Linked DNA regions of Alligator mississippiensis. The protein of the gene in region 2 interacts with the protein of the main gene of each other region in a pairwise test. Links are inferred from orthologs where the notes say so. Each region holds a gene or a part of one and is shown on either strand. Other genes may lie near its edges.

The links. The genes of interacting proteins can lie anywhere in the genome.
Region 1: the proteins of TNFAIP1 (region 2) and ARMC7 interact in binary tests that used the Homo sapiens proteins (3 or more experiments, as listed by UniProt). The link is inferred for Alligator mississippiensis from reciprocal best matches to the Homo sapiens genes TNFAIP1 and ARMC7.
Region 3: the proteins of TNFAIP1 (region 2) and POLR1C interact in binary tests that used the Homo sapiens proteins (3 or more experiments, as listed by UniProt). The link is inferred for Alligator mississippiensis from reciprocal best matches to the Homo sapiens genes TNFAIP1 and POLR1C.

The regions. Positions count from the first base shown.
Region 1 is NC_081831.1:12,288,748-12,300,008, forward strand, and holds ARMC7 (armadillo repeat-containing protein 7), read left to right. Parts: upstream 1-6,878; 5' UTR 6,879-6,958; exon of another isoform or gene 6,959-7,039; intron 7,040-7,510; 5' UTR 7,511-7,525; coding exon 7,526-7,592; intron 7,593-8,297; coding exon 8,298-8,441; intron 8,442-10,053; coding exon 10,054-10,391; 3' UTR 10,392-10,662; downstream 10,663-11,261. Other genes in the region: NT5C (5'(3')-deoxyribonucleotidase, cytosolic type), read right to left, coding at 11,068-11,210. UniProt on the Homo sapiens protein: As a component of the minor spliceosome, involved in the splicing of U12-type introns in pre-mRNAs.
Region 2 is NC_081837.1:7,378,617-7,388,867, reverse strand, and holds the start of TNFAIP1 (BTB/POZ domain-containing adapter for CUL3-mediated RhoA degradation protein 2), read right to left. Parts: upstream 4,738-10,251; 5' UTR 4,646-4,737; intron 4,573-4,645; exon of another isoform or gene 4,475-4,572; intron 3,330-4,474; 5' UTR 3,205-3,329; coding exon 2,991-3,204; intron 1-2,990. Other genes in the region: IFT20 (intraflagellar transport protein 20 homolog), read left to right, coding at 5,440-5,566, 7,547-7,632, 8,751-8,854, 9,391-9,472. UniProt on the Homo sapiens protein: Substrate-specific adapter of a BCR (BTB-CUL3-RBX1) E3 ubiquitin-protein ligase complex involved in regulation of cytoskeleton structure.
Region 3 is NC_081824.1:168,537,508-168,548,144, forward strand, and holds the start of POLR1C (DNA-directed RNA polymerases I and III subunit RPAC1), read left to right. Parts: upstream 1-6,254; 5' UTR 6,255-6,281; coding exon 6,282-6,350; intron 6,351-6,442; coding exon 6,443-6,514; intron 6,515-6,647; coding exon 6,648-6,755; intron 6,756-8,196; coding exon 8,197-8,329; intron 8,330-8,468; coding exon 8,469-8,588; intron 8,589-8,813; coding exon 8,814-8,966; intron 8,967-9,365; coding exon 9,366-9,515; intron 9,516-10,147; coding exon 10,148-10,264; intron 10,265-10,581; coding exon 10,582-10,637. Other genes in the region: protein YIPF3, read right to left, coding at 3,019-3,111, 3,943-3,988, 4,708-4,814, 5,372-5,581, 5,749-5,826. UniProt on the Homo sapiens protein: DNA-dependent RNA polymerase catalyzes the transcription of DNA into RNA using the four ribonucleoside triphosphates as substrates.

The DNA of each region.
Region 1 (11,261 bases), on a different chromosome or scaffold from region 2:
TCATTTGGTGACATCATGGGTAATTGAATCTAGTTAGCTTCAAGTCTATGACTTTTTTTTTTTTTAAAGGCTGATTTCTTTTTCAAGTACAGCTGTTTTTAAGACCAGAAAAGCTCTATTAGCACATCGGCCTCTGCACTACCACAGCTTCCTGACACCAGCGACATTTATCAGTCCTGGACGAGTTACACACTAAGTCACCTTGTCTGAACACATCCTCCTGGCAAGGACCAGAAGTGACACTTAACCACCTCCCACAGAGGGGCTGGGAGAAACACTTTCATTTCAGGGGAAGAGGCGCTTCTGCCATGTCCCCCATCTCTGAATGTGGAAGTTGTTATACGGGATGCAGAACTCAGGCACGTTTCTTCTGTCAATCACATCTAGGCCAAGTGGTTTTTCTTACGAGCTAATGACCAAACAATGAGCATTCTTGTATTTCAGGGGCATTTTCAGGGAAACAAAGGTTTCAAACCAAACCCCAGGGAAACAGGGCAGACTCAGAGTGCCTGCATTTTATAGCCAGTTACTTCTCAAGTGCTTTCCTCCACACCCTTGCCCAAAAGAGCTGTAGGACAGGATCTGACAGTTCATGGCCAACATAAACATATTAAGACACTAAAAGAAGGAGCAGCACTTAGAGATGGACATTTCCTTCTCTGGCCTTGTCCAGGACCAGTTCTTTGAAAAAAGTCCTGAACTTGCCAGACACAGGGCCAATTTCAGCACTGATGTAACACTCAGAAGGTCAGGGTCTTCTCTGGTATAAATGGACTTAAGTCAACCCTAGATGCTTGGAGTTAATGACACCTACTTTCTGATGAATAAACGAGTCCACACTGATGTAACCTAGTACTGAGGAGATAAAAAGAAGTGGAAAAAGAAGTATGTGGGGAGGAATTTCATTTAACCTCCACTTTATTCCAACCTCCAATTTGTAGCCTTTCCTGCTACACTGCTCTTCTGTTGTTGTAGCATGCATGTTACATCAGCTTTAGGCTCCATGGACCAAATTCAGAGGACAGGTAACCTGTGGGTGCGAGTTTCTTGCTGCTGAATGGGTGGGTCCACATGAGCACCAAGGAATCTAGAAGATCAGTCTGAAGTCATGCTGAAGCAAGCTTTGACTTAGCCATCTTAGCCACTTCTCTGGATTTGGCCTGGGATAGCAGCCACTGCACTGGCTCTTCCGTGCACTATAGTCCTGATGATGAACTTTGCTTTTATCCCACTTCAGTTCTGATTCAAGGGTAGCAGCCCTCTCAAAAAACACTGGAGCTGGAGATTAGCGCGAGAATCTCTCCACTTTCAAATGGTTTTAAGACTTGCTCTAGCAGTCCCCAGGATAAAAGGTGCTAAAGACTTCAATTCTAGTGACAAAACCAAAGCTGCTATTTGAGACCAATGCAATTATGGGGTCCCAGCCTGCCAAACCTAGAAACCAAGGAATTAAACCACTAGAAAGCTGACCCCCTGTGCTTTCTGAGACTATGAAGGTATCTGTAACTAACCCTGTTGGGTCATGATGTATTGCTTCCACTGTCAACAAGTGCCTATTTTAATAGTGGTCCAGGATCCCTAGAGCATAACATACTTTACACTTCTAGATCAAACATCTCCTCAAGTAAGGTTATTACCAGATTTACATGTAGCCCTTTGCTTCCTAGAAGTGATGGCATCTTATCTCTAGTCACATGTTTTCAGCAACTTCCATAAAGCTCAGATGGTCAATAACTGCAAAGCAATTACTTAGTGTCACTCAGCTGACTGTACACAACTACTGTTTCATACCAAGGAAATGTATGGATTTTCTTCCTCACTAGAACCAATCAATGAGAAAGGACCAAGTCTCAACCCTGTTCTAGCTTCAATAAATAAAGGAGCTAGACAACAGCGTGTGCTTCAAGCGATGTCTGTATTCAATATAATGTTTTACATTTCCGGTTGTTCCTTCCCAGCTGACCTTGTCCTCAGGAGGGAAAATCGCATGATCTCAAAGTCTCTCTGTCATGGCCAAAATGGACATGATACAGGCTTAGGCTGGAACCTATCAAAACTGCCCCGAGCCAGACAGGAAGGAGTCCCAGGAGGCATCTTCCTGTCCTTCAAGAGTCAAGCAATGCAGACAGCACTGGAAAGAAGTGATGGGTTGGCCTGTAGTAACTGCTCAGCAGGACATAACAGCAAAGAGGTTAAGACAGAAAGTGAACAGGGGTGTCAAGAACCATCTTGCTAGTCCTGTGTTACAAAACCAGCCCCAGAGGTTGATTTTCATCCTTTTCAGTGGGAAAGGTGGGGGGAAAGAGTACAGGGCACAGAGTTAATAGGTGATGCATCAAATTCCTGATTAGGAGCAGCATACTGTGCTCCTGGGTTCCAGCCTGGACTCTGTTTCTCTTCTCCCAATTAGCAGGATCTGGAATCACTTCTCTTTAGATTATAGCTGATCACTGTAGCTACCCTTTTAGATGAAGCCCTTAACATCCTTCAGCCCTGTCGCTCCACAGCCCTTCTGCCTCCTGTTGTAACCTAAAGACCTGAGTAGGGTCTCCCCCTGTGTATATATGCTAAGGGGCATGCACACAGGTGGCAAAAACATAATAAAAAGTCCCCCTTGCTTGGAGAACAAGAGGACAGGAAGGGGAGGCCACAAGCTCTAAAGATTGAGAACATAAAGAAAAAGAAACCCGTAACAAAGGTTCCTTTCATTAGCTTAAGGTCATCCAATGATGCAAGGCAGCCCCACTTAATTACCAAGCATAACTGGTTTTTACCGACTTCCCATAGACAGTCAAGCTGAAATCAGCTTTAATTATATACAAACACTAGTGCCTCAACCAGATTATAAACTACTAGAACCTAGGCAGAACAAGGAGAATTGGCCAGGGACACACACCCCTCCGAGGCCCCTTTGCTCTGTTTCTGCAGGTCTCATCAACCTTTGGGCTCCTCCGCACTTTTGCAGTAAGCGTGTCTGTGTACGGCTGTGGCATACAAACCAGGAAGTTCAGACTTAAATATTCAAGGATTCTAATCAAACTTCACATTCTCACTGATATTTAACCAATGGAACCATTGCTGCGGTCCTATAAAAACCAGAGCTGAGAAGGGTGACATTCAGACACAATCTGTACCATTTCAGCTGTATTTAAGGCACTAATGACTGTAGAATCAAGCCCATCCCTAGATTGCCATGCTGGAGACTGGGGTGATACACACATGCTACAACCTAAAACTCACCGAATTGCAGCTGCAGGGGCTACCCCTGTACATGCCTCCTCCATGATATCATCCTGGTTGTCATCAACTGTCCTGGCAAACACCTGGCAGGGACAGCAGTCAGACTTCGAAAGGCTCTAACAATCCCTAAGATAAACAGCAAGTGTCACATGCCAAAAAGATGAGCTCATGGGATCCAATTCTGTATGCTGTTGAGCGGTCTGTAAAGAAAACCATGGCAGTGAGCCAGCTTAAAGGGGACAAATGCACCCACTCTCCCAACAGGTCTTGTCAAGAACGTGACTAGTATTGTCTGTCAGCCTCCCACAAATCTTACATTCAAGTTCTCCAACTCAGAAGCCAGGTGAACATTGTCTCACCCACCTCCCAGGGGGTAGCAGCGCCACCACAAAAACATCCCCCCACACACACCTTCATGTTTAGAGGATGAACATGAGCAGCCAGGGCGATGCTGTCAACAGAGCTAATAGCATATGGGATGCATTAACAGATGCATCACGAGCAGGGCTAAGGAAGTGATACTTCCTTTCTACTCAGCGCTGGTGAGAGCCCAGCTGGAGTACTGGGTCCAGTCCTGGGTGCTGCACTTCAAAAAAGATGTGGACAATCTTGGAAGGGCCACAAGAATGATTAAGGGCCTGGTGGACAAACCTTGTGAGGAAAAAGTAAGGGATCTGGGACTGTTCAGCCCGGGGAAGAGAAGACTGAGGGGGGACTTAGTAGCTGTCTATAAGTATGTAAGGGGTGTACATCGGGAGCTGGGAGAAAAACTGTTCACTAGGGTACCCCAGGGGAGGACAAGGAGCAATGGCCATAAACTGTTAGAGAATGGTTTCAGGTTGGATGTAAGGAAGAACTTCTTTACAGTAAGGGTGACCAGATTCTGAAACAGACTTCCCAAGGAGGTGATGCAGTGTCCAACCTTGGAAGTCTTCAAGAGGAGACTGAACCGACACCTTGGTGATCATTTGATCTCAGTAGTATTCCTGCCCAGAGCAGGGGGGTTGGACTCAAGGATCTTTCGAGGTCCCTTCCAGCCCTTAATTTCCATTGTTCTGATTCTAAATCAATCTGGGCTTATGTCAAAGCAAGAGAAAGACCTCAGAAAACAGATCTAGTGGGTCACAGGAAGACAAGCAAAGCTGGGCCCCTCACCCTGAGCTGATAAGTGATTTTCCCACTCACTAAGCATTAAATAATATGACCTGAAGTGCATCCCTATAGCACATATACTAGCAAATCCAGCTAACGCAGGCTCAAGACATGTGCGCAAGAACAGAAGAGTGATAGTCTCTCTCCTTTTTTCCTCTGTGCAGAATTACAGACTGAGGGACCACAAGTTCAGACCTAGATACCCTCTTCCTTCCCTGCTCCTTCCCCCCCCTCCCATTCAATCCAACTCCCCTCATCCTTCTCTCCCCCCCCTCCACTTCACTTCAGCATCATTTCACCTCCCAAACTCACCTCAGTGGGCTTCCCCCTCCCTCACAGCCTCACACTGGCCCCTGAATTTACTGCTGCCTTCTGCACACCACTTCTATTTCTAGAAACCTCAGCAAGAACAACAGATCTAGTTCACACCAGAAAAGATTTCCCAGTGGACTCGTACCAGCAAGCCCTCCTGGGCAGATGCTGCTTGGACCAGCAAAACAGGTGCTTTTGCAGCATAGCTATGACCTGCTCCCCAAATAACATAACCCATGCCAATGAATGCATTTTCTTCTGGTAGGGCTCTGTGCATTAGGGCTTCTGCTGCTACAGAAGTGTCTAACTCAGTCATTAACAACTTGGTTGACATCACTATATCCATGGTGGTATTGGGGGAGTACAAACTTGGCAACTGCACTGAGCTCCAAGTTGGACAGAGACCCTTCTTGCATTACAACAGTTTTGGTCTGGTTGCTTAAAAAGCACAAGGGTCCGAAACAGACCCACCACCTAGGGCCCCTCAAAAAGATGAACCCCACCACCGATGACACCAGCAAAAGTTTCAGCATAGGCTTGCCCTCAACCTATAAGCTTGGGTAGAAGTACCACCGTATCTAACTGGCTACAGCCAGGTCATTTGGCATCATCTGATGTGTAACTCAGTACTGCATTTAACTCGTTTCATCAATCATTTGTCTCTGCAATGAGTTCCCTGCTTCATAGTTTAAGCCATGCCCACACTCTGGAGCTGCACTCATTTAGCTTAAATGGGTTTAAAAATGAACTTTAACCGGTTTCAAATTACTGTCAGTTAAGCTGATGCAACTCTGTATTCAAACCAGGGCACTGTATTGCTAGCCTGTCGTGGCCTCCCATGTTTCTGTCACAGCCCAGGCTTCACTCCACTTTTTCTGTTCTCATTCACACATCTGGAGGTGCCAGTATTGTTCCCACTTTGCAGTCTCTGCCTTGTCTCTCTCTTTTAACTCTTGTTCTGACATTTCCCTCCCTCTCCCGCTCCCTGAGCATCTCAGCCCAATGATACATTTCAAAAACACACATCATTCCTCCCTTTCCCACCCATGCACGCACTGCCCCTTCCCTGTGAATTTTTGCTTCTCAAATCCGTTTCTCTAATCATTTACTGAAGTAAAGAAAGGGGGAGATGCTGGGATAAAGACTTCTGTTTTGTCCAGGGTAAGTAAATCTTGCGCTGCCCGGGCCTGCCAAGAGGCTGATCAATGTCATGAGTCTGGGAACAAGCTGTTTGTTCTCCTAGTAGTGACTCAATGAAGCGATTACAAACAATTCAGAGAAGTTATGGGACAAGGGACAAATAGTCTGTACTAGGGAAATACAAAGGTGAGCAGGTAACTAACACCGAAGAGAAATGCTGACCCTTCCGAGAGGGTCATTGAAGACTCCACCGTCCAGAACTGCAACGATTCTCCACGACTTGCCGAGTCTGAAGTGCAAGTACTCATCTCCTGACCAGGGAGAGTGGGCCCTTCATTTTTTCAAGCAAAAAATATAGGCAAAAAAACCCCTCTCTCATCCAGAGCTGGAGGCGGGCTGTGAATGTCACCCCAAGCAATCTTCAGGGGTCAAGACTGGGTGTTTTATGCCTGAGATTTTCAGTCCCACTTTAGGATGAACCATCAGGCAAAGACACTGGCTACACGTCTTATTGGCTGGGCAGAAGGTGTGCAACACCCACCCAGCGGAAACAACAGGCTAGAAAAACTCCTTCAAGCGGCATGTACGCTCATGCATGCAAAAATACAGCCGAGCCGTTCGAGCCCTCGTATATCAGCTCGTGACAGAAGTGGGAATTATTATGATTCCATTTTCCAGACGGAGAAGCCAAAATGAAGAGGGTCACCTCAACGAGGAAAGCAGCCGTGCCCCGGCAGGTTTAGCTAGTGAGTACTAGTCAGTGAGTACTAGACCTTTTCCCCAGTGCAGATTCAGGGCAACAACCTCCTATGGTGCAATCCGTGAGGTGAAGTAGGTAAAAGGGCTCTGCCAACACCTGGCCTGGCCCAAACCCAACTCTCCTCAGTGACCGGGGGAGGGGGCCGAGCTCCTGCTCCTGGGCCCGCAGCGCTCCCGCCCCCAGGCCCAAACCGGCCCCGCCCCCACCCGGAGACACAGGAACCACTTCCGGCTCAGCGCCTTCGGCAGCCACTTCCGCCCTTCCCTGAGCGTCCCTATACGTCACTTCCGCCCTCTGTCCTGCAAGGCGCGGGGCGCCGCTGTCCCATGTGAACCCACTCCTGCCCTGCCGCCGGTTCGGGCCCCGCGCGGTCCTGGGCGCAGGTCCCGCCATCCCCGGGCCCTTCCCCTGCCGCTCTGCTTTCTGCTCCATGGGGTGTGCTGCCTGCCTGCTCTTTTTGTTCCCAGCCCTAACTGCTGCTCTGCTTTCTGTGCCCTACCTAACCAGCTGCTCTTTCTGCTCCCAGCACTGTGCTCCCTGCCCAGTCTGCTGCTCTGCTTTCTGCTCCCAGCCCCATCCGCTGACCGGCTTGCATGGCACGCCCACGCAGGTTGGCCACACTTGTCCTGGGAGAGCAAACAATGCTTGTGGGGGTCAGCCAGGGAACCTGCAGCTGTCCCCAGCCCTGTTCGGGCCCCGCCGTGTTTAGCGGCAGCCCTATCCAAGCCTTGACCAGGTTAACATTTGCCAGAGGACCCCGTGAGATCCCCCTGGGGGGTCTGAAGGGACTCCAAAGAAAATCCAGGGACTGTTTAACGCTCACTCAAACATCTTTGTATTAATCTAGCAGCGAAGATGGGAGACTCTAGGGCCCGCCAAAATAAAGCCCTGTTGTTCTCTTTGCAGGATCAGTAGGATCCAATGGATCTGGGGCGGCTCGAGTACCTGCAGGCCCTTGTCACTGAGTTTCAAGTGACGGAGAGTTCAGGTGAGACTGTGGGATGCAACTTTTTATTTTATTAAGGTGTTTGCTGAGCTTCCGGGTCAGCTGGCTGGTCTGCACGGCTCTCCCTTGTGCACTGCGTGGACAAAATCAAAGGTCTGCCCCAGTCTAATAGCGGGGGTGACACCCCAGGACTGGCACACCATCTTCAGCAGCCAGCAGCACACAAAAAGACAATGTGGCTGGCATTACCCATTCAACACCACAGTCTGAATGACCAGGTGCCCATTTCCCACTGTACCAGCTGGGAGCATCCTTCAGGATGAGCCAAGAGCAAGGCTTGAATGTGAGCCTGTAGAGCAGTGATTCTCAGCCAGCATGCTGTGTGATCCTTATAAGGGTGCCATTGCAATGACAAATCTACAGGAGTCACAAAATAAACCCAAGAGATTTCAAATAGGAATCCACAGCGTCAAAAGCATTGTGACTTGTTGGGGTCTTTCTGAATTCTTTGCAACAGAAGAATTGCTGGATTGTTTTTTCCGCAGTCAAAAAAATGAGCGCGAGGTGAGTTAGCATTTTCCATGGGGTGCCTTGAATTAACCAGTTTGAGAACCACTGCTCTAGGGCCAAAGTAGGACACTGCAGCAGTATAGTTACTCTGCTACCACATCATAGTGGATTCAGTTACAGCTTGTCCCCGTTATCAGTTGTCCCTTTCCTGAATCTGAAGCTGCTTTTATGTTGCAGAAGCCAAGGAACAAGTACTGGCTAATTTAGCCAACTTTGCCTATGATCCCAAGAATTATGAATATCTCCGGCAGCTTCAAGTCCTTGACTTGTTCCTGGACGCGCTCACGGAGGACAACGAGACTCTTGTGGAGTTTGCAATTGGTAAGGATTATATTTAAACGCTTATCGAAGTGCTAATGGAGCACTAGCAAGTCATGGGATGCCAGCCTCACGGCTTCGACCCAGTGGTCCATTTGAGCTTTGGAGAAAGAACGAGCCACTGCGACAGAGATTAATTGTGCTGTTTAATGTAATAGTGGATGGCAGCCAAACATAATGGTGATAAGAACCTCTCTAGGATACAGTAACTGGAACAATGTAAGGGGAGGATGAGAGAGCAGGAAAGGAGGCTGGGGCTTGTTATTTTAGCTTAAGGCAAGTCTCCCCTTCATTTCAGTAGCATGCTGCAGTGCTAACAAAATACATATTTATAGGACTAGGCCAGTCCCTCAATACTGGAACAACAACTCAATTCTAATAGTTATTTTTAAGGGAAGTCTCTGTTGCATAAGACAGTCATTGAGAACAGCTAAGGTTTTGCCAGACAGCCTGTGGAAGTACAATATTCATTTGTTACTCTTGCTCTTGTCAGCAGTTAATGGTAATGATTTATACCAAATAATACAATCCTATCACAGTGAGTCAGCATGGGCTAAATATAAACTTGGGAGCCAGCAATGTCAGATTTTAATCCCAAATGGCAAACAGGGTGAGATGATTGGATAATTAAATACCCTTGGGTCCCATCTATATTACAACTTCCTCTGGCAAGACTTCAGGCAAGTAGCACACACTGTTAGTGTGGGATGCCTGACAGGTTAGTACTGTCCTTACCCATGCACCATGTAACAGATAGTAATCAAATATTGCAAACACAATTAGTACTGACATACTACTTTTAATAACACCTTCCATCAGTAGATCACATAATTAAGCCTCCCTATACCCTCTGTATGAGGTAGCAAAGAGATTTCTAGAAACCCTTTTATTGATTACTGGATTGTAGCCACCTCTGGGATGAAACAGGATAACTGCTCAATTGAACTCTTTGGACTGTTAACCCTCTATTTGTAAAAGTTGCCATGAGATTTCTAGTGACCAGGGTTCTGTCTCTCCTATGAAAAAGACGTTACCTCTGACAGCACAGTGCCCCCTAATGCCATAGAGAAGAGCAAGTGTTTTGGTTGAAAACTCCCTTTGAGGAAGGACATGAGAGTAAATTCAGACCAGGAGGCAGATGATATACACCATGTTAACGCTTGTAAAACAATGTTCTGAGCATTTCTTTCTATATTGGGATCTGGGTGTCAATGATGTGTAAACCCTTGCTTAGCCTTAGGGATTTTATGTACTTTATACAATTGCTATTGCATTATTAGAACATTTCATCCCCAGGATTTAGATGGCTGAAAGGTTTGTCTCTCACTGCTCTAGAGGAAAGTCTCTCTGAAGGATAGGCCTAAGTCAATAGCAGCTAAAGCAAGATATCTTGGGTAACTTCCCCTGCCCTCCACCCCCAAATATAGGCATGTTCTTACCCAAACTTTCACCAAACTAAAACATGTTACAACGATTTAGGCATTTTCATCTGAGTTCACATGTAGATAAGCCTTACAAAAGAAGTGAGCAGCCTGGTTGCACCAATGCACTTGAAACTTCAACGTCAGAGGTAAGGTGTTGCTAGCAGATGCTAGACGCGTCCTCTCTGTTTCAGGTGGTCTTTGTAACCTCTGCCTGGATAAAACCAACAAGGACTATATCTTGGAGGCCAATGGGGTGCAGCCTATCATAAACTGCCTATCCAGTTCGAATGAGGAAACGGTGATGTCGGCAGTCACTACGCTGATGTACCTGACCACGCCGCAGTCTCGCCCACAGATCACGGCTCTCCCCGTGGTGGAGTGCATGTTGCGTTTCTCCCTTTCTACCAACAGGAGGTTGAGCAATCTGGCAGTGGTCTTCCTTGAGGACTACTGTACACCTGTGCAGGTCGAGGAGGCCAGGAGCCTAAGCAAACACACTGCGGTAGGGATCCCCCTCCCAAAGGACTGAGCAGCACAGAGCTGCGCAAGCAGCTTGGGGTAGTAACTGAGAGAGCTGGCCCTGTCTTCAGAGCCTGCCTATAGCTGCTGGGCACAGACCAGAGGGATGAAACCAAGTAGAAGGGGTGAAAACCATTCAGATGGAAGTAGCTTTGTTTGGAAAGAGGCAGGGAGGGAGCTGGGCTGCGAGAGCAAATTTGTAATATAAAGCAGGTCATGTCTGGTAGAGGGTAAGCTGCCAAATAAGTTCTGACCAGTAAATGAGATCACTGAAATGCCAATGCTGTTAAACATGACTTTCTTACATCCACACCTGTCACTGCATGGTGGGTGGCACGATATGTAACTGGGGGTTCAGTGCCCTGCCTACTTCACCCAAGCATCCCAGAACACGGTACTAGACCTCACAACCAGCTGCTGCTCCTCTTGTGAAGGATTCCCCCTCCAGCTCAATAACAACTCTCTGACAAAGTGAAATAATTTAATAGGGCAAGTGTTCCAGGAAGTTTGAAGGAGATGCACATCTGTGATGACTCAAAGTTTGGGAGTCATTCCCCATTTAGTATCGTCAGCCCTTGGTGCTGCCTGAGCTATGTCAAAGTGATTCCCTCAAAAGGGACTTGAATGCCAGTTCACAACCCAGCTGTTTCCATCTGCGATGTGAACAGCACTGTTTCCCTTCTCCATTACTTCCTGCGTTTGCTTTCCAATATTGCTCTCCAGTCATCGGCCCATGACTGCAGCCGCCTATGTGGGGGCTTAAGCTCCAAGTGCTTGTTATGGCAGCAAGTGAACAGGATGTGTTCCCAGCTCGGATTAGGCTCCACACCTGAGAAGAGCAAGGGAGAAGCTGAAGTCAGTCATCTTTGTCCTTCCCAAG
Region 2 (10,251 bases):
GCACTCATTAAGAAGGCCAAGCATGGCATCCCAGTATACCAACTCTCCACCCACATCCTTTGAAAGGAATCTAAAATCTCCTGAAATAGGAAGTCAATCATGCCCTATTGTCTGTGCTGGGACTGCTGACATCAGACAAGCTGGATCAGGCCCACACAGACATGAAACCGAGAAAGGAATTGCTCATCTCATTACCTCTTTTCCCTCCACCCTCCTAAGAAGAAAGATCCAGCTGGGTTCCTAAGACAAGCAAGACCTAGATTAAAGAACCTAAAACAAAAAATAATCAGCCCTCAAGAGGCAAAACCCCACGGGAAAACCCAAGAGACTGTTCTCCTTGCTGATCAGTCCACACCCTTCTGCACCAAAACCATGCGCTATCATTTGTCTTGTCTATGTCTGATTTTAATCAGTTAGAGGCATGAACCCGTTTAATTATTATGGGAAGTAAGTGGGGGGGTCAATTTTATAGCTAGTCTTAAGAGCTCTATTTAACTGCCTGGGGAGGCAGGTCTATTTTAGAAAACTGGTTATTGTTAGACAGATTGCAGGTCTACTTAGAAGCTCAGGGTACTGCCAGCAAAGTTGGTTCTTAGGATTAAGGAATGACTACTTCTGCCTGCAGGTTGGGAAGGCATACAAGAATAGTACAGGGTCCCAGAACATTTCAATCCTGTGACATACTGGAAATCCTTCAGCACAGTATTTCGATGTTCTGGTTCGAGAAAACGTTGTCTGTGATGGAAGGCCTTTTGGGAGTCTTTCAGCTTGTGTGATTTTTAGTTGCTGTACTAGCAAACATGGTAGCCTAAATAAAAAGAAGTGCTCACTTAATAGAGGCCTATGATGGTTGTTGTAATAGCAAAACATTTCACTATTTTAAAATGTTTACAAGTCTTTATAAATATGGATAACTCAATAATTGAACTCAATGAAAGTACCCGACTCTCTTAATCCCCTGCCAAGGATGGCAAGACTCCTGCCAACATATGTTGCCAGCAGAGACCCAGGTACTGCCTGTTGCCAGGCAGCTTCTCCCTAGGAAAGCATCAAGAGGGCTAAGAGGCTTGCTGAAAGCAACTACTAGGTCTAAACCAGGTCTAAGCTCTGCAGACCACCTGCGGGTATTTGGCAGAGGTTTTTCTAGTCATCAAGCACTGCTGTTTGGAGAACAATAAAAGCCGCATTCCAAAGATGCCAAAGTGTACAGCAGCTCACAGCAACCAGTGAGGGGAGGAGGGACAGGCCATTTTGCTCCCTGAATACGTGCAGGCAGGAAAGCCACCAAACAGGAAAACCCTAGCACAGGAAAGAGTGGAGGACAGATGGCTCTCCAAATGATTCTAAAACATCCCTGATGTTTCATTCATTAGCAAAGAGGATGTACAACCCGCCATTAAACATTGTTAGCACAGGCTGCAGAGTCAGTGGCAGGAAATCTGTGAGAGAGACAATGCCAAACACCCTTGCGTAGCAGCTACTCTACTGCGGAGACTGGAAGTGGAAGGAGAATGAGAAATGTCATTGAGCTAATATCCTACATTTCCAGAGGGATGAAGAATAGATACTTCGAGAGCTGTGTATGGAAGGAGACAGAAACACAGAGAGGTTTACCTCCAATAAAAGATTCTAAACCCTGTTTGGGTAGTAATATCCCTATTTTATGTTTGCCGTAACACAAAGTTGCAGTGTTGCAAGGTTGCCACTAAACTAGGTGTCTAACAAGCCAGGTTTAGACTGATGTGCAGCACCTACACAAAGGTGCATCAGTTCAAACTCAGTGTACCATAACATCCCTAGGTGACTTAGCACAATCTCTGCATGGTAAACAGCTCTTACAGATGGGTACTAAGAGAAATGCTAAGAGAACACAGATTACACATAACCCAAGCCTTGATAATACTTTCCATGCTTTTTGGTTTGTATAAACACTGAGATTGGTTTTATTTAAAAACTGCCCCTAATCAGGGGGCCTCTACTTCCTATGGCACAATCCCCTGCTTTCCTGCTCCTAAAGAATTATTCTGGCTGAGAGCATCTCCAAGAGGAAAAGGAAAGCATGTACAATTACTGATCAAACTGATGATCCTCCTTGTCTATTATTTTGGAAAAAAGAAAAAAAAAGCCGTGAAGCTCTTGTTTACACTGTACACTGTTGGGCTGCAAAGACGGTAGCTTTATGGCTGCTTGCAGATATTAAAAAAACCCTGAAATGGTGCTTCACTTTGAACTCGGTGTACTCCTGTGTTAAGTCAAGCGCACGTCCCGAAGAGGTAGCACAGTCAGTTGGTCCTTGACCTGTACAGATCAGGCGCTTTAGCAGGTCTTTTATCTAACAGCTGATTGAATCAGCTATTAGAAAAAAGCACCAAAAAGCCCTGCTGAAGCACCCGATCTATACAAATGTTGCAGAGCTGGGTAGAACTAGTGTGCTGCTTCTTCCAGTAAAGCCCAGTTACTTGGTTGGTTTGGATTGTTTTTTTTAATGTCTGCAAACACCCTGTAAGCTTATGCACAAGGGTCCAGTCCAAGAGGTCCTGACTGCCAACTAGAACCTCTAAAAGTCATCTCGCTGTAGACAGTTTTACCTGCAACAAGCAGCACATCACCAGGAGAAGAAAAATGCAGCTCCTCAAACAAAGCAGGTCAGAGTTTAAAATAAAACCTTAAAAAATGATGTCACTTATGTACCCCCTTCGCATATTGTGATTGATGCCTCTATGCAACACTATAAAAGCAACAACCCACATACCACCTTATGTTTAGTCCTGGAAAAAGGCAGGCAATCCACATACCAGCTGTGCCATGAGCAAACAACAATCCCAGCTATGAAAGGGGAGATTTTTCAAAGCATGGAGGAGTGAAACTGAAAACCAACAGGGGTTGGGTGTCCCATGCTTCTTGTCTGTAAGAAGTCTCTCCATAAATCTCTTCCATTAACTAAGCTCCCATCCTTAGACACACGCAGCCCCACTGTTGGCACTGCTTACCTTCCTTGTCAGTGAGCACTTCCATCCTGCCACTGAACATGGCCTTCAGCATTGTGTCGTGCCGGGTCAACACCTGGACTGTGGTGTAATACAAGGAGCCCCCGACATTGAGCCGCACATACTTGTTGCCAAGGCTGCCCCCTTTGAAGCTGCAGGCTTTGGGCTTGGCTCCTGAAGCTGGACAGATGGTGGTTAAACACGTGTCCCCAGACATCTCCTTCTGCAAGTAGATGACAACTCTGCAGCACGTGGGCTTGATGGATTCCGCCGTGATTGGGGAGAAGTCACAATGAGCTGGGCAGGGAGGGCAAGGCGGCGATTGTCATAATCCACTGGAGCCTTTGACAACGTTAGAAACAAAAGAATAGATTAGTTTAGTTGGAACCAACCTTTCTGACAGGCAGGACACAAATTACCACTGCACCCTCCCCGGCTGCCACTCCAATCCTCTTCTCTTGCCTGGTTTGCTGCTCTGCCTCCTTCCCTCCGCTCCCTGCCCCATTTGCTGCGTTGCTTTCTGCTTCCTGCCCCCTCCCTGATCACTCACATACCCCACACACAGGCTGCTTGGACCACTTGTGGCATGTGCGCCGTAGGTTGGCCACCCCTGGATTACATCAACAGGGAAGCTACATTTCCCAATGAAAATATGGGACTCATATATTTTATCCCTGCAAGCTAGTCACAGGGACTGCAAGCTAGAAGGACGAAAGAGTAGGTTCAAAAGCTTGTCAAGAGGACACACAACCTTTCAGCATGAGGTTACAATTCAAACCTTACCCAAATAGGTAATGGCTGAAGATTGTCACCATCTCGGGTAATTCATCAAAATGATTTTTAGCCAGACCTCCATTTCCCCCTTCCTCCCACAGGATAAACTTTTCACATCACAAAAACCTATTGAACTATTTCTGTTAGTTTACTGATAGGATTAAAGCAGCACATGTAGCCCAGGCGCAATTATATCAGTATAAAGGTAGCTTACACACCAATAATAAATGTATAAATAAATGGATTTAAAGGTATTTTACACACCAATTTATAGATCGGTATGTTGGGTTACCTTTCTAACGAAGATATTCTTATCAAAGTAACTTATATACTAAGGAGAGAGAAAAAAAAAATCTGCTTTTTAACATAAAAAAGTCGTTATTCAATTAAGATGACGCTGACTTCCCGCAAGGTTTAACTAATTCACAAGGTGAGTTTGGTCCTAAATTTTCTTTCAGACCAGAGACAACAAAAGGCAACTGCGGTTTCAAGCAATGGCTGCTCCCATCTCCGTAGGGCCAGCGTCTGCCTTTCCGGCCCTTGGCGACTAAACCGATGGGACCCGCGCGCTGCCGGGGGCACCTCGCCCCTCGCCCGGACCTCGTCCCCCGCAACCGGGGAGCTTCCTGCGCTCCCCTCCACCAGGTTTCGGGTTGAGTCGATGGGTCTTGCGTTCCCCCCAATTTTTTCCCTCCGAGCCCCCCCCAAATTACCTGAGGATCATTTGAACCCATCCCCAGCACCTGGGGTGTGACCCCGCAGCACCTACACCCCTGCAGCGACAGACGGAGGCACAAACACAGGGAGGCCCCCAGCCGGGCCTGTGGGTGGGGGGCACACCCCTCCCGCCTCACTTCTGCCGGTCAACCCCCCCGAGCTCGTACCGGTGCAGGCCGCTCCGCCGCCGGCTCCACCGCCCCGGCCCGGTCAGCACGTCTCCTCCCGCCCAGGCCCGCCCCCGACTTCTCCTCGCCGCCACGGCGGCGGGGACTACAATTCCCAGCGTGCTCCGCGGGGTGGGGACGCTTCCCAACATGCTCCGCGGGCACGCGCCTCTGTTGTGGATGGGAGTTTCCCGCCGGTAACTGCAACTCCCGGCATGCTCCGCGGGCAAAGACAGCCATTCCCAGCATGCATCTCTCTTATGGACGGGAGCTCCCAGTAGGCCTCGGTAGCCTGGAACTGCAACTCCCGACATGCTCCGCGGGCAAAAAGTCACTCCCAGCATGCACCTCACTTGCGGACGGGCGCTCCCAGCAAGCCCCTGCATGCAAAGACAGCCATTCCCAGCATGCCCCTCACTTGTGGATGGGCCCCGGCAGTCGGGAACTACAACTCCCGGCAGGCCGGCGGCAGGCAGGGAGGCCCCACGACGTGGAGGCCGCGCGGAGGTCAGCAAGGAGCCGAGCCTGGCAGCCACGCGTCATTATAAATAATTAAGAAGAATACTAAAATAGAATGAGAAACAATGGAATGAGCTAAACAAACGCAGCGCCCCGCTACTCTCAGCCTATCCCCTCCCTCCCTCCCCCCGCGGGATGGTACATTCCGCGCGGGGGGCGGGGCTGTCGCCGTGGCAGCCGAAGGCCGCGGGCAGGGGAGTCGCAGGGCGCGGGGGGCGCTGCTGCGCCCATTCCACCGGCGGGTAAACTGAGGCCGCTGGGCGCAGGCGGCGGCCATGGCCCGGGAGCTGCTGGGTGGCGCGGGGCTGCACTTCGACGAGCTCAACAAGCTGCGGGTGCTGGAGCCGGGCGTGGCGCAGCAGACGGCGGAGCTGCGGGAGGAGTGCAAGGCCTTCGTGGACAGTGAGTGCCCCCCTCCCTCCCCCCCGGATCGGGCCCCCACGTGTGCTGAGTCAGCAGGGCCGGGCTGACCCATGTTCCCCAGGGCAGGGGGTCACTCCGAGCCTGGCCCCTCGGGGGGAGGGAGTAGATGCGGTACGCGCGTGGCTGGAAAACATCTGTAACTCGAATTCGTGTCGCACACACGTGTCGCACAAGCACGGACGAGTTGCGTGTGCGGGTTTCCCTCGACGCGCTACACGCGTCGCTGGAAAGCGGTGCGTAACTCAAATTCGTGCCGCGTACACGTGCCTTACAAGCAAAGACGAGTTGCACGTATAGGTTTCCCTCGCTCGACGCGGTAGGCAAGTTCCTGGAAAACGTCTGTAACTCGAATTCGTGTCGCACACACGTGTCGCACAAGCACGGACGAGTTGCGTATGCGGGTTTCCCTCGATGCGCTACACGCGTCGCTGGAAAGCGGTGCGTAACTCAAATTCGTGCCGCGTACACGTGTCTTACAAGCAAAGACGAGTTGCACGGATAGGTTTCCCTCGCTCGATGCGGTAGGCAAGTTCCTGGAAAACGTCTGTAACTCGAATTCGTGTCGCACAAGCACGGACGAGTTGCGTGTGCGGGTTTCCCTCAACGCGGTACACGCGTCGCTGGAAAGCGGTGCGTAACTCAAATTCGTGCCGTGTACACGTGCCTTACAAGCAAAGACGAATTGCACGGATAGGTTTCCCTCGCTCGATGCGGTAGGCAAGTTCCTGGAAAACGTCTGTAACTCGAATTCGTGCCTCGCAAGCACCGAGTTTAGGTTTCCCTCGCTTGACGCTGGAAAGCGGTGCGTGACTCGAATTCGCATCGAGGGGCGGGAACCCACTTTACGATGTAACAAGCATGGATACGTTCCAGGGCCTCGGCTGCAGTGACGTGGCGTCGTGGCGCTCCCGGGGCAGTGGCTGCGGGCGGCTTCGTGGCTCACAGCTCCCGGAGGAGCCGCCGGCCACCTCGGCCCCCCCCAAATAATGTCTGCTTCCTCTGCCTGTGTTGTCGCTCCCACAGTGCACTGCACAAAGCAGGGGACTGCGGGCTTCCGCTGCACCGATCACATAAGAGTGAATTTACCTTGCATATAATGACCATTTCCCATTTTTGGTATAAAAAGGGTCGTTGCCTAAGAGCGAATTTGCACATACGCAACCCGCATAAAGCGAGGGAAACTCGGAAAAGAAACCTGATCCAGGCCTGAGCTTCTCATTGCCAAGCTCCCGTCCAGCATAGATAGAAGAGGTCGATGTCGACTTCCCCTCTCCCCCCCAGCAATATTTGACCTATTATTTATGGAGATGTTTTCTGAAGTGAATTCATTAGTGTAGGGAATGGCTTGGCTGCAGATAGCATTGCTTTCTGTTTGCTACCACAGCCGTGCGAATGGCATGGATACACCTGTGTAAGGCGACTTCTCGTTGCAAATCCTGACTGCTCAATTGCTTTCGGTTAAAGATTAAATCAAGGCAAAGTTCCCGTGAAGTATTATTTATTGTGACATTTCCAGCTCGCAGCACATACAGCAAATGCATTTGGTCTCACGCAAGGAAAAGGGATGGTTTTTTGTAGGTGGAAGCCCAGCTTTGTCTTTTGAAAGGATTATTTTCCCGCAGGGCTTTATTGTGATATTGTATGTTAGGACACTTCACTTGCTAAAGAAGCCAACAAAGGGCTTTATTTAAATCCAGAGATAAAACAAGTCAGAACACAGAAGCACACATCATAGTAGAAGAAATAGCACCCAATTTGAGTAACAAGAAAAACCACAGAACAATCTGTGCGTGCATTGTTCCTGATGCAATCTGTGTGCGCGTTGTTTCTGTCAAGCACAAAGTAATCCCAGTTTAAAAAACAAAGCACTCAAAGTCTATCAGAATACAACACTGGTATCACTTTGATGGATGCATTTGGTATAACAGCAATTTCTCTCTTTTTTTTTCCCCTCCCCAGAAATTGCAGAGTTTCAAAAAATAGTGGGTAGCTTAATTGAACTTGTTGATCAACTAGCAAAAGCAGCTGAAAGCGAGAAGATGAAGGTACTGTGCAAATATTATCTAATGCTATCCTCTGCCTCTGCAAGTAAAGACCGCCCCCCCCCCCCCCCCCTTATTTCACATTCAAAGCAATCTGTAGCAATCCATCTGAAATAGACAGTCGCAGATGGTGGTGCGTGCGGGATCTCTGCAGTGACAGCCAGGTCTCCCCTTATCAAGGTGTATAAAGAACCATTGACAGATTCTGACAAGCACGCTCATTATAGTGTCACATCACTCTTGTATTTGCATTATCCCAGCCCTACTGGTTGTTGGCACATGTGCAGGTAAACATGCTTTCTAATCAGTTTCTTTCTTCCGCTAATTTGTTCCAAAGGACCCGAATTTTGTACGTGCGGCATCATTCAGAAAGTGTCACCAGGGAGAGCATCGTCATTGAAGGGAGTTGGCAGAAGGAAGAGGTTGATTAGAGAAAAAAGCATTTACATACACACTAATGATAGCTTCTTTTGTGAACTCCATTGTTGATGCATACGTAGACAGACACATCACCCATCTGTACACTTTATAGGTTAATTTAGAAATAGTATAATAAACAAGCAAATGTATTGTCATCTTGATTTGGTGGGGGGGGGGCAAATCGGAATTAGCGGTCACCTCTCTGCTTACCTGTCCTTCCCTTGTACCAGTGATCAATGATCCTGTAATATTTCTAGACAAGGCTTTGCCACTGCCCTCTCTGCGGCTTGGCCAAATTACCAGTAATGGTGGTGTTAGCTTCCCCTGACAGGAAAGTGGTGTTATTACCTAACTTGGTAGGATGCCACTATCAGTTCACTAATGTCTGTGCAAAGCTAGCAAGCCTCTGATCCACAGAAATGCACATTGTGCATGACATTTCACAGCTACAAAGACGATAGATTTGTAGGGACTCTGTCTGTACCACAAACTCTCTTAGCATCTATCTTGCTTTGCCATATACTGTGTGTGGGTCAGTTATCGTGGCAAACCTTACGTTTGAAGAGGAAATCCTATGAAGATGTTACTCTTCTCAGTGCCCAAGTGTTTTAAAAGGACCTGAAAATTGTCCAGCTGGAAATGACAGTAGCAAAACATTAATGATAAAATTCCTTTGCTAAAAAGCAATCTTGTTTCTATAGGCAATTGGTGCCCGAAATTTGCTAAAGTCTATAGCTAAGCAAAGGGAAGCACAGCAACAGCAGCTTCAGGCTTTAATAACTGAGAAGAAAATGCAATTGGAAAGGTAAGTTTGTGTGTACATGAAGCCAAGATTGAGAGCTCGCTCTGGAAGTCTGATTTGATCTTTTGAAAGATAATACTGTAACAAACATGATTTATTCAGTTTGTGAATTCTGCTGTGATTGTGCAAGTTAAATGCTTAATCTTAACATGTGCACGCCTGTCTATAAGGGAGCATTGTCCAGGGCTTTGGATTTTAGTTCAGTCCATCTTCAGCAGTTTGGTCAGTGGGGCTAAAACAAAGCCAGGTCTTGCATTCCTGATAAACTGGTGGCCAGCTGAGGGCAGGCTAGGAAAACTGTCCTTCAGTGTTTGGTTTGCTCACTTTTTTTTTTAAAGGTAGTTCAGCATTGATCTTCTCAGTGGTGCAAGGCCTAAGTCATTTAGATAGCTAAATTCTATTTTCAAAGTGACGTAGGAGCCTAAAGCATACTGATTTCCCTCTACCCCAAAAGGCTTAAGTCACTCTTGGAAATGGAACTTAGTCACTTAAATCACAGGGGGGACTAAAAACAACATTTTAACCTCTCTCTCTTTCAGATATCGAGTAGAGTACGAGACCCTATGTAAAATAGAAGCTGACCAGAATGAATTCATCGACCAGTTCATTTTTCAGAAATAAAGGATTTGGAGACCAAACAGCAATGACCTTGGAAAACTTTACCATTCCAGTATACTAATAATTCCAAAAATATGCAGTTTTGCATTGTGTATGAATGAGCAAAATGGTTTGTACAAAGGAAAAAGCTTTTTGTAATTCTATATGAACTCAAAATGGCAATAAGAAAGGTTTTTCCCCAGATGTAAAGAAGACCACTTCTAGCCTTTCACTACTTTTTAAAAAGTTTGGTATGGTCAGTAGTTTGAATTCAAATAAATACTGCTGCTGCTATGCGACTCCCTTACTTTTTGAAATGTACGGTACTTTCAGATAAATCGGAAAAATAAATTATTGTTTTTAGACATTGCTTTCTTTGTTTTTATATTGCCTCTGGATGTCAGAATCAGCTGCTACAGTTCATCTAATTTCTAGATCTGGAATTTTAAAACATTGTCTTCCTTAGACTTATTTAACTACCTCACTGGATTGCCACATCTAACAATTTCCTGGGGTGCTATAGTAAAAAAGGCTTCAATTCTTAACTTGTGTGACACGATCAAAAGAGAATCAATTACCACCTATGGTTTTTGGGGTTTTTTTGTTTTGTTTTTTTTTTTGGGGGGGGGGGGGGGGGGGGGCGGGGAAGAGCAGTTCGTGATTAACAGCTCTCTCACACACCAAACCAGAACTGAGAACTGGTGTTAACTATAAATGGGTTCTGCTGAAGTTTTCAAACCTGGATGTTTAAAGGTAATTCCAAGAGTGTTTTTAGATCCTAAATAGAAATAGGCTGACTTCCA
Region 3 (10,637 bases), on a different chromosome or scaffold from region 2:
CTGCTGGTCTGCAAGAAGTGCAAGAGCAAGCCCAGACACGTGATGTTATAAAAGGTGTAAAAGGAATGGGGTACTCTTCTAATCGGGTTAATTGCAGATACTAAAGTGTTCCTGAGGGAATGGGTCCAACTTAAATTGATGGATGGAATGCTGCACGGAGTAACCACCAACCCATGTGGTAAGCAATGAAAGCAGTTGGTGCTGCCCAACAGATACAGAACTGTAGCCATAACAGCTTTCCATGATGACTTTGGGTACTTGGGGTTTGAAAGGACGCTGGAATTTATTTAAGATAGATTCTATTGGCCACAGATGGCTGGCAATGTCTGACAGAATTGTGAGTCTTGTGCTCAGTGCATGCAAAGGAAAAGCGTACCCTCCAAGTCTGCCTATCTGCATAATATTACCAGTATGAAGCCACTCAAACTGGTATATATTGATTTCCTGTCTCTGGAACTAGATAGGAAGAGTATTGGGGATATTTTAGTAGTGACAGACCATTTCCCTTGGTATGCCCAAGTATAACCCACTCAGGACCAGAAAGTCACTAGTCACTTGTGTGCTGTGGGAAAAATACTTCTCCTTTTATGGGTTTCCGGGTTGAATACACTCGGATAAGGGGAAACACTTTGAAAGCTGATTTCTGAAAGGTGTTCAAGATAGCTGGAATTCAGAAATCCAGAACCATCCCATATCACCCACAAGGGGACCTGCTACCCAAGCATTTCAACTGGACTTTGCTAAACATGTTGGGAACACTGTGTGCAGAACAGAAAGTGAGTCAGCATGTTGTGTTTTGGGCACATGCCTACAATGCCACTCAGAGTGACACCACCAGGCTCAGCCCCTACTTTTTGATGTTTGAGTGGGAACCTTGCCTCCCTATAGACTTGTATTTCATGGTAGTTGAAGACAGCAAGGGTTATGAAGTGCATAAACAGTATCTCACCAAACCGTGGGACAGACTTAAGAAAGAGTATCACCTCACCATGACAACCACTTCTAAGAACACCGATAAGACACAAGCACCAGTATGATGCTAGAGAGTGGGTACAAGGACTCCAGTCTGAAGACAGGGTGCTACTGCAGAATTTCAGCATAGTGGAAAAACACAAGATAGCTGACAGATGGAAGGCCACACCTTACTTAGTGGTCAAATGACTAGGAGACCTACCAGTCTATAAGGTGAGACTTGAGACAGGGCTGGGTCCAGAGAAAACTGTACACCGAAACCTGTAGTTGGCAGTCAGGGAGTTAGTCTGTCCCCCACTACCCATGGAGGAGGGCCACCCAGAAAGGACAGACTCCCGGAAGGGGGAACTGACTAGAGCCTGGCACAGACCACCCCTTAATTGAGATAGACAGAGAGGGACCTCCAACCCTCCTGTCACCTACAGGAGAAAGCCACTGTGCACCTGTCCCTACCATGCCCAGGGCAGTAAGAATTAGAAGGCCTGTGCAGCACCTAACTTATAATAGCTGCAGAGTTGCATCACAGACACCTGTTACCGTCCCATGCCGGCATTAGAAATAACCCATACCAAGGAGTTGAGTTGCGGGGATGTCAAATTCTGGGCTGGGGGGAGAATATAACATACACAAAATGAAGGGAGAACATAACACAACAAAATGAATAAGTCATTTTGTACTGCAATATGTGTTCTGGTTTCATGTTGCTATGTTTCTTGTTTGTACTGCAAAGTGCGCTGTTTGTGTGTTTGCTGTGTATAATTCCTGTACCGCAAAGTGCACTTTAGTTTGGCTATGATCATGGATGCCACCAGTGTCTATTTTGCTGTAATACTGCATCTTGCTTTCCTTCTACCCCCAGGCCTCCTGTAAGCATTGATCTGGGGAAATGCATGCTGTAGGGACAGTAAGCAGAAGCCCACCCCTGCTTTATGGCCTTTTCTTTCAGGCTCCCCCCACCCCCGCTTGTTCTGAGACCAGAAAATCTGGTCTCTTTTCTACTGTACAAATCAAGGGATCATCAGTGTTTTTTAAATTAATTGGTTAAGAGAAAGGCATGGAAGCATGGCAAAACCTGGTAATATCATGCCGGGCACATAGGAAGAGGCAGCTGGCTAGAAGAGGGGGCTGGAGCTGGGGTTGGGAAAAAGGACCCCAATGAAGCGCCCCCATCCAGAGGAGCCAACATGAAAGGGAACACTCAGCCAGGCATTGCTGCAGATAGGCTTAGCCCATGAGGCTTTTCTCATGATCTTCTCTGCCCCAGCAGAGCTGTGTGATTGGAACTAGGAATTTTGGGGGTGCACTATGCTAACTGGAGCCACAGTCACCCCTCCACAGCCACCATGTAGAAGTGGAGATCAGCACCCTACACAGCCTCACAGGGAGCAATGATGGGTCCCTGAGGTGCAGTGAACCCCAAGGCGTAGCTCATAAGACTCTCTGGTGTGGGTCCCTCCTGTCCAGCCTGTTGCTGAGTGGCAGGTATAGGGGTGCAGGCCTCCAGAACTAACCCTCTGGGTGAGCCCCCCAAGTCCCAGACTGCCTGGACATGGGTGGAGTCTCTCCAAAGAGGTGCAACTACAAACTATACCTTGCTGTTTGATAGTGCTTTCTTTGTGTATTGTAATATATCTAACCTTTTGTGTTTACGCTGCTTGCGAGGAGGGGGCATTGTTTATGAGGGGCACCCCCATCCAATTGAGCGATCCCAGATTTTTGGGTGGGTACTTGAGCCACAGTAAAAAACTTATTGGGTATCCCGAAATTTGAACCCAGCCCTTGTTGCTGCCAACTGGTACCTGGCACAAGAGCTACAGCACAAGGCAACATTGAGGAGGCTATACAATCTACTACACTGAGCTGCCACCAGCCAGCTTCTCGGGGCAACAGGGCATCGGTCCCTCTGCATCTTCCAGCCCTAGGCAATGAGATCTTCCCACCAGCTTCCCACTCAAGTCCCTTCCAAAACAAAGTCTCCCTCACCCACCTCCACATAGTCTTACAGCTGGGTGCAAAACCTGACCTGTAACCAAGACTTGCTCTTACAATGATAGTGTCCGAGGTCTTCATCCCATGCAGAAGGATGGCCACCAGTGTGAAGACAAGCATGAGAGGCCCGTAGAGCTCACCTGCAATCTTCTACAGGGGGAGACAGACAGGGGAGGGGCTTGGTAAGTGCTGCATCACACTGAACAAGGGACACAGCAGGTGCCTCATACAGAGTTTGTGACCTGACCACTTGTTGACCTGAGCTGCTACTCTGCGAAGGCTGGTGACAAGGACAACACTAAACTCACCATTTGATTAAGAGTCTTTGAGGAAAGGGTACAGAGCTGCTGAGTGAGGCACCAGAACAGGAGCCCGGGTCAGTTCTGTCCCACTGCCCAAAGATTTGACTGAGGAACCATTACAGGAATCTGTGCCCGAGCAACTCACATGAAACAATGACTGCTGCACACGTATGACATAATGCTTTAACTAACTTGCCACCCATTCGTCACTAGCTCTCCATTAACTGTGGGGAGATTGAGGCAAAACATAGGGCCACAGAAAGAGTCTGTGTCAGACCTGGAGTTCCCAGCTCTCATACAAGAGAAAACAAAGGCTGTTTATAGCTCTGTTGGCAGCAATATATCTAACTGGCTTCTTTCTTTTAGCAAACTGGCAGTTCAGAAAAGTCCCTGGAGAGGGGAGTAGGAGCTAAAGCTGAGTAACTGTGCCAGCTCTGCAAAGATAGAAGATGAAGCAAAGGTTTAATAAAGTCTCTCTTACAGCTTTTTTTGCTTCTGGTTAAGAGTGCTGAACTCTCAGCAAGTATTAGGTGCACAGCCCACTGATAGAGCACTTGTTACCCTGCCATCTCCACTCCTGTTTATATGAATGAACTGTGTTCCATGGGCCCATGGCCCATTCAGTTGGGATACAGAGGCTAATTTTCTGTGGGGGAAGCTTCCTTGGGAAAGTACTCACCTGTGGAAAATTAATCATCTTCACAGGGATCATGGACTCCAGCAACCTGCACCACACAGAGGTACACAAAGATTTCAAGAACAAAGAAGGTAACAGAAGAGGTTAACAATAAACCCAAAACATGAAAAGCCCTTGTCCCCCATTCCCTGGGCCAGCTAAGGCCTGGACCCAGGGCCAGACTAGAACCTGTGGTTTAGTGATGCATGACTCCATATCCTATCCTCCATTACAACCAAGCCAGCCAGTTCCCAGGACAACTGGGGCACTGGTGGCAACACTGCCTCCAGAGGAAAAAGCCTGTACTGCAATCCTAATTAACTGCACAAGCCAGTTTCTGAAAGGCGGCTGCCAGCCCAATGAACTAAGGAAGGACTTGCTACCACAAGGGATGTGGGGATCAGCAGGAGGTTATCAGAGAAGACCCCACAAAGCTTTGCCTTGTGGAACCAGCCATGTTATGTGGTGGAGAGAGGTGGGGAATCGCTCGCCACACATCAGAAGAGGTGGGAAACGAACACTATACATACTAGAAGATGCTGCTGAGTTCATGTCTGGAAACAGCACCAAGGACCTATAAACAAAATGAGCAGCCTCCCACTTTAAGGAGGGTGGCTCTGCCAACACCACTGCAGCTCTAACAAGACAGCCCCTGTTTTGCTCTCCTGGGGGAGCCTTTCAAAAGCATCCCTCACATTGGATGGGGCAGGAAGGTGAGGAGCCTGCACAGGCCCATTTACAGCCCCCCTCCTCCCCGCCCCTGCTCACCTGTTCCGAACTTGGATGGGCTCCACGTCAAAGTAGGGGCGCAGGATGTCAATGTTGGCGTAGAGACTGAAGGCCTTGGAGGCCTGTCTCTTACCTGCCTGCCACATCTGGGGGGGAAGAGGTGGAAACTTGCAGTAGACAGACTGACCACTGCTGCCACCCTCCCACCACCCAGGGGACTACCCCAGGGCTGGAGCACTAGGCGACTGGAAGCAGCCAGGATGCAGAGCAGCTGGTCGAGAGCAAGACAGGAGCCACGGTCCCAGGAAATGCCCTGAAATGACTTCCCAGGGGGCTACCCCATGCCTTATTCCCACCACCAGCCTGGTGCAACTATTGCCTGGTCATCCCCTGAAACTGCAAGGGAAACTGGAGTGTCTCAGTGTCAACCGGAGGGCTGCAAGCTGGGCAGAAACCACAGGTATGTGTACACATGCGTGCATCTGTGTGCATGAATGCACATACGTGTACGCACATCTGTGTGCATGTGTAGCTTCATATGCATGCATGAGCATGCCTGAGTGCACATGTGGACCTGTGGGCACATACCTGCCAGCCACCCACCCTCTGTGTGCCACGGGGCCAGTAAGGCCAGCACCCTTGGGGAAGGCAGGCAGCAGTATGTGCATGTGTGGGGGTGGGATGGCACCCAGCCCTGCCTCACCTGATCGGCCACCTGCCGGCCCAGCTGCCCACGGAAGCCCTTCATGCCCAGGAACTCGCCGTCCTCCTCATCCCCCACCGCCGCCTCAGCCTCCTCCTCCTCCTCCTCCTTCATCCGCTGGTGCATCTCGCCCATGTCCTCGAAGCTCGACCCCGACGTATCGTCCATGTTCTCCATGTCAATCACTGCTGCCCCGCTGCTGCCGCCAGCCTGCACGCAACCCGCCTGCCTGTCAGCACTGGCCCGGGCAAGTCCGGGCCCAGGATACCCCCAGCCCCTGGCATGACCTCCCCCATGCCCTAGGACACCCCCCCCATGATACCCCCTTTCTCCCCTGAATACACCCTCCCCCCCGGCTGCCCCGCCCCCCGTGGTACCTGCATGGTGTCCTCGAAGCCGCCCCAATCCGCGGCCGCCCCGCCCCTGCCGCCCCCCGCCGCGACGGCCCCAGACATCCTGCTGCCGCGCCGCGCTACTAGGGGCTTCGGACAGCTGCGGCCAGATAGCTCGGGCAGCGGATGTGACGCACGCCCTGGCGGGGACGTGGAAGCTGGGCTTCCCTCTCGCGAGAGTTCCCCTTAAGCGCCATCGTCGTGATGGCGGAAGTAAAAAACAAAACAAAACACCTCAAGCAAACAAAAGAGAAACACAAACTGAGACCGGGCGGACAAAGGAGACGTCCTCCGTGAGTCATAACAGCTCTGGAATCAAGGCAAGGGACGTGCCATAGAAATAGTAACTAAAAGCATCCTCTCTTAGGAGCAGCCACACAGCATGGGGGAGCAGTACGTCGGACTCTTAGTGCGCCTGCGCAGAGGGGAGTCCCAAAGAACCGGAGGTCTGGAACGTAACACGTCCACCCAGCGTCACGTGATGGGTAGGAGCTGTGTGCTTGCGTCACGCGGGCAAGATGGCAGCGCCCGGTAGCGTGGAGGAGATGCGGAGTCGCGTGGTGCTCGGCGAGTTCGGCGTCCGCCACGTGAGGGGGGAGAGGGGCTGGGGCAACGGGCGGAGGGGGCTCGGGTCCACGCGTGTCCCTCGTGACCCACGCGTCTTTTGCCCGCCCCGCAGGTGCACACCACGGACTTCCCCGGCAGCTACCCGGGACACGCCGACGCTTGGGACCCGGCCACCTTCCGCCAGGTGTGCAGGCGGGCGGGTGCAGCAAGGGCGGAGCGGGTGTCCTATCCCCGGCCCCTCCGAGCTCCTGGGGGTGGCAGCGGGGCACCCCATTGACCCCGCGGTGTCCTGTCCCCCCTGCCCTGGCGGGCTGCAGGGTTTCCACGTGGACGTGACCAACATGGATGAGGGGTTGCTGGAGTTTGACCTGGTGGGCATCGATGCCGCCATTGCCAACGCGTTCCGCCGCATCCTGCTGGCCGAGGTAGGGGCTTGTGCTGGGCTCCACTCAGGATGGACCAAGCACCAGGTTTGGGGTCAGGAAGGATTTTGCTGCATGGCGAAATTGGTTTGGGTTGTGGGGGGATTTGCCTTGCTCTGTAGCAGGGGTGCAGGCCTCTGCCCAGGACCACTCGATATTTTGAAGAAGCAGGACGGTGGCTCTCATGGGTCCCTGGCTTGACCTGCAGCAGGTTGGGGTGTCAGGTCTATGCTGTGTCAGGGTTGCAGGTGGTCAGGTGTAGCGGTTGTGGTTCTTGTGAGATGGTTTGGACAAGAATGATCCTGCCTCAGGCAGGGGCTGGACTAGATGTGGCCTCTGGAGGTCCCTTCCAATCCAACTTCCTGATGATTTCGTGACCCAGTTGTCGTGTCCCCGACTCTGCCCCGCAGTCCCTTGCTGCCGCAGGGAGCTGGTCCACAGCAGGGTTGGTGCAGGCTGGAAGCTGCAGGCTTGTACCTTCCCTGTCGCAGTTTCCTTTGCCTTTCATCAAGTTTTGTTCTCACTGCTGGAGCAGGTGTGGGAGTTGACAGCTTGAAGAAATAAGGTCATACTTTTGGGAAAAGAGGAAGACTGATTAGAGCAGAAAAGGCAGAAGTGCCAAAGTTGCTGGGGGTAGAGGGAGGTCAAGGGCTGCGGGACGACTCATTTGCTGCTGAGCTTGTGTTTATGCTGGAGGATGCAAAGCATATATTCTGGAGAGGAAATAAGCAACCGGATTGTTTCCTCTCCAGACAGCCAGAGAGGGTGGTCTAAGACAGGCCTAGTGTTACAAACTGAAGCTGTTTAATTAACCAGCATATACTGCAAATGGCAGCACTGGAGCTGCTTCCTCATGAGTGTTTTGCACAGATCTCTGTGCCTGGCCTGGGGTAACAGTGAAACTAGTGGTATTAGTCAGTTATGAAGAGACTGCAGAGTCTGGCCTGCAAGAAAACTAGGAGATGCACAGAGAGCAAGAAAAGAAGAGTAAAAGCAGAGGAGAAAGGAAATGGAGGAACCTAGTTTAGATCAGCAAGTTTCAACCAGAGCACCGTTAAATCTTTCTAGATGTGGGAACACCTGCATGCAAGGTGTGAGGTAAAACCAGTAATTACAAACAGGAATCCTTGGTGTCAAAACCATTGCGACCTGCTGTGGTCTGTCTGAATTCTTTGCAACAGAAGAATTACTCTAGTATTTTTTTTTTGCACTCAAGAAATGAATGATAACTCAGAGCTGGTGTCTTTCAAGGGAGCTTGAGTCTAAAAGGGTTGAGAACCACTGATTTGGATCACTTGTGGGAAGGAGCTGTCACCAGGAAGAGTTAATTAGACCCCAGAAGGGGTCTCTGTGGAGCAGAAATGTTCTGGCTTGATATTGGGTGGGGGTGCACTTCAGGCATGCTGCCTGCCAGGACTGACTTGCTCTCTCTGTACTCCTTAAGGTACCGACAATGGCTGTGGAGAAGGTCTTTGTGTATAACAACACATCCATTGTGCAGGATGAGATCCTGGCCCATCGCTTAGGCCTTATCCCTATCCAGGCTGACCCTCGCCTTTTTGAGTACAGAAGCCAAGGTGAGAGCCAGCACCAGGACAAAAGGATGCATTGGGGGGCTTTTCAGAAGGGGTGACACAGAGCTGTGTTGGTTTAGGTTCAGGAAGGGGTGGAGGACGTGGCCTAGCCTGGGACTCGCTCTGTTTTTCCTCTTCCCAGGAGATGAGGAAGGCACAGAAATTGATACCCTCCAATTCCAGTTGAAAATCAAGTGCAGCCGAAACCCTCGGGCAGCCAAGGAGTCCTCTGACCCTAATGAGCTCTATATTAATCACAAAGGTAAACCTCCAAGTTGCCGGGGACCCTGCTGTAAGCCCCATGTAACCTGAATTTTTTTTTCCTACCCTTGAGAGTGAAGAGAGCCAATCCTGTAGTTCTGTGAAACTTTCTTTTTGGCAAGACCTGATGCTGTTGGGACAGCAGCCCTTTGTTGTGAAGTGTTGGCTTCTCTCCATGGGTGCTGAGGCAACTTGGTTAGATATTGGTGACCTCTCTTCTCCACAGTGTACAGCAAACATATGACGTGGGTACCTCTAGGCAATCAGGCAGACCTTTTCCCAGATGCATGTTTTCGACCTGTTCACGATGACATCCTCATTGCCCAGTTACGGCCTGGCCAAGAAATCGATGTGCTTATGCACTGTGTCAAGGGCATCGGTGAGTTGGGGTTATGGGCTGGGGCAGTGAGACAAGTGTGAGTACCCCTGATGCAGGGTGTGTGGGGAAGGAAGGAAAAAGAGCCCAGATATTCCTCTAGGGTGGCTTGGTGAGTGCCTGAAGTTCTAAATGACATGAGGACCCCCATAGGATTTCATTGTGCCAAGGGGTGTTACCAGGTGTTCTGATGGAAGTAGTTTCTCCTGATTTTTGCAGAAGCTCAAGGCAGTACTGAGAGGAGCTTCATGACACCCAGCAACTCATTCAGGCTCTTGTCTCCTGGCTAGTAAAGCAGGGACTGTGGCCTTTGAGTGGGGTATGGTGCCTCAGTGCTCCTCTGGCTGCATCATTGCATAGGGTTTGGCTGGGGTCATGACTTTTTCTTCCCTTATTTTCCAGGTAAAGATCATGCTAAGTTTTCTCCAGTGGCCACTGCTAGTTACCGGCTGCTGCCTGACATCACTTTGCTACAACCCATTGAGGGGGAGGCAGCTGAGAAGCTGAAAAAGTGCTTCTCCCCTGGAGTCATTGAAATCCAGGACATCAAAGGTACTTTCTATCCCCACCCCAGGACCTTAGCATTGGCTAAGGGGAGACTGAGCGCAGGCTAGAGGCAAGCATTGCACAGATGGATTCTTTCCTCTGATGTCCCTCCAGCCCAGCTTAGGCCATTCCATTCTGTCCTGGGCCTGGGGTTAACCTATGAATGGCTGTCATATAGATGCATCCAGTGACTGGTTTGGTACCTCCTATTCTCTTACTCCTTTAACACTTTTGATAAGGCAGGAAGTACTTCTTCACTCAGCTCTGTGACTGTCCTCTGCACTGTTACCTGCTGCTCCAGGGTCCAGAAACCCTCTCTTGTTGTAACTCCAGGCTGTCGGCCACTCGCTCCCAGTGGTTATGAGTTGCTGGCTGGCTCCAGGTATAATATTGGACAAGCTGAGCTTTTTGAGCTGGCCCTGCCTGGGGAGTAGTTGGGGGTGGGGTGGCGGTTGGAACTTATCCTGCGCTGAACCTTGTATTAGAAATTACGTAGTTCTTGGTATAGGTCTCCAGTGTCATAGCTAGGTGCAGAGACCTGCATGTTTTGAATGCAGTGTGCTGGTCTGGTAGCATGAGGTATAAATGCTTGTCCCTACCAGCTGCAGGTTCCTATTTCACCTCTTCTTCTCTTGCAGGGAAGAAGGTGGCGAGGGTGGCGAATGCTCGGCTGGACACGTTTAGCCGGGAGATCTTCCGGCACGAGGAGCTGAAAAATATGGTGCGTCTGGCACGAGTGCGGAATCACTATATCTGTAAGTAACCTCAGCCCAACCCCCAGAGTACAGCCCTCTCCTGCTGCACGCGCCATTGTTTCTCATCCTGCTTGGGGGCCACAGAGATTTGCCAGCATGTTCTAATCTTTTTTTTGTTCCTTTTCCTCCAGAAGATTAACTCTGGTACATTCATATTCCAGTAGGTAATGGGTTTCTGGTGGCTTTGGAGTGAAGATAGATCTGCATTTTGTGCTCCTTTTGCTGACTAACTTTGCATCATCTGATGTGTTGGTCATGAAGGATTAAATTGTAGGCTGGTACCTGGTGCCTGTGCTGATCTTTGTGTCTCTGTCCAGTTTCAGTGGAATCAACTGGTATCCTGCCTCCAGATGTGCTGGTGAGCGAAGCCATC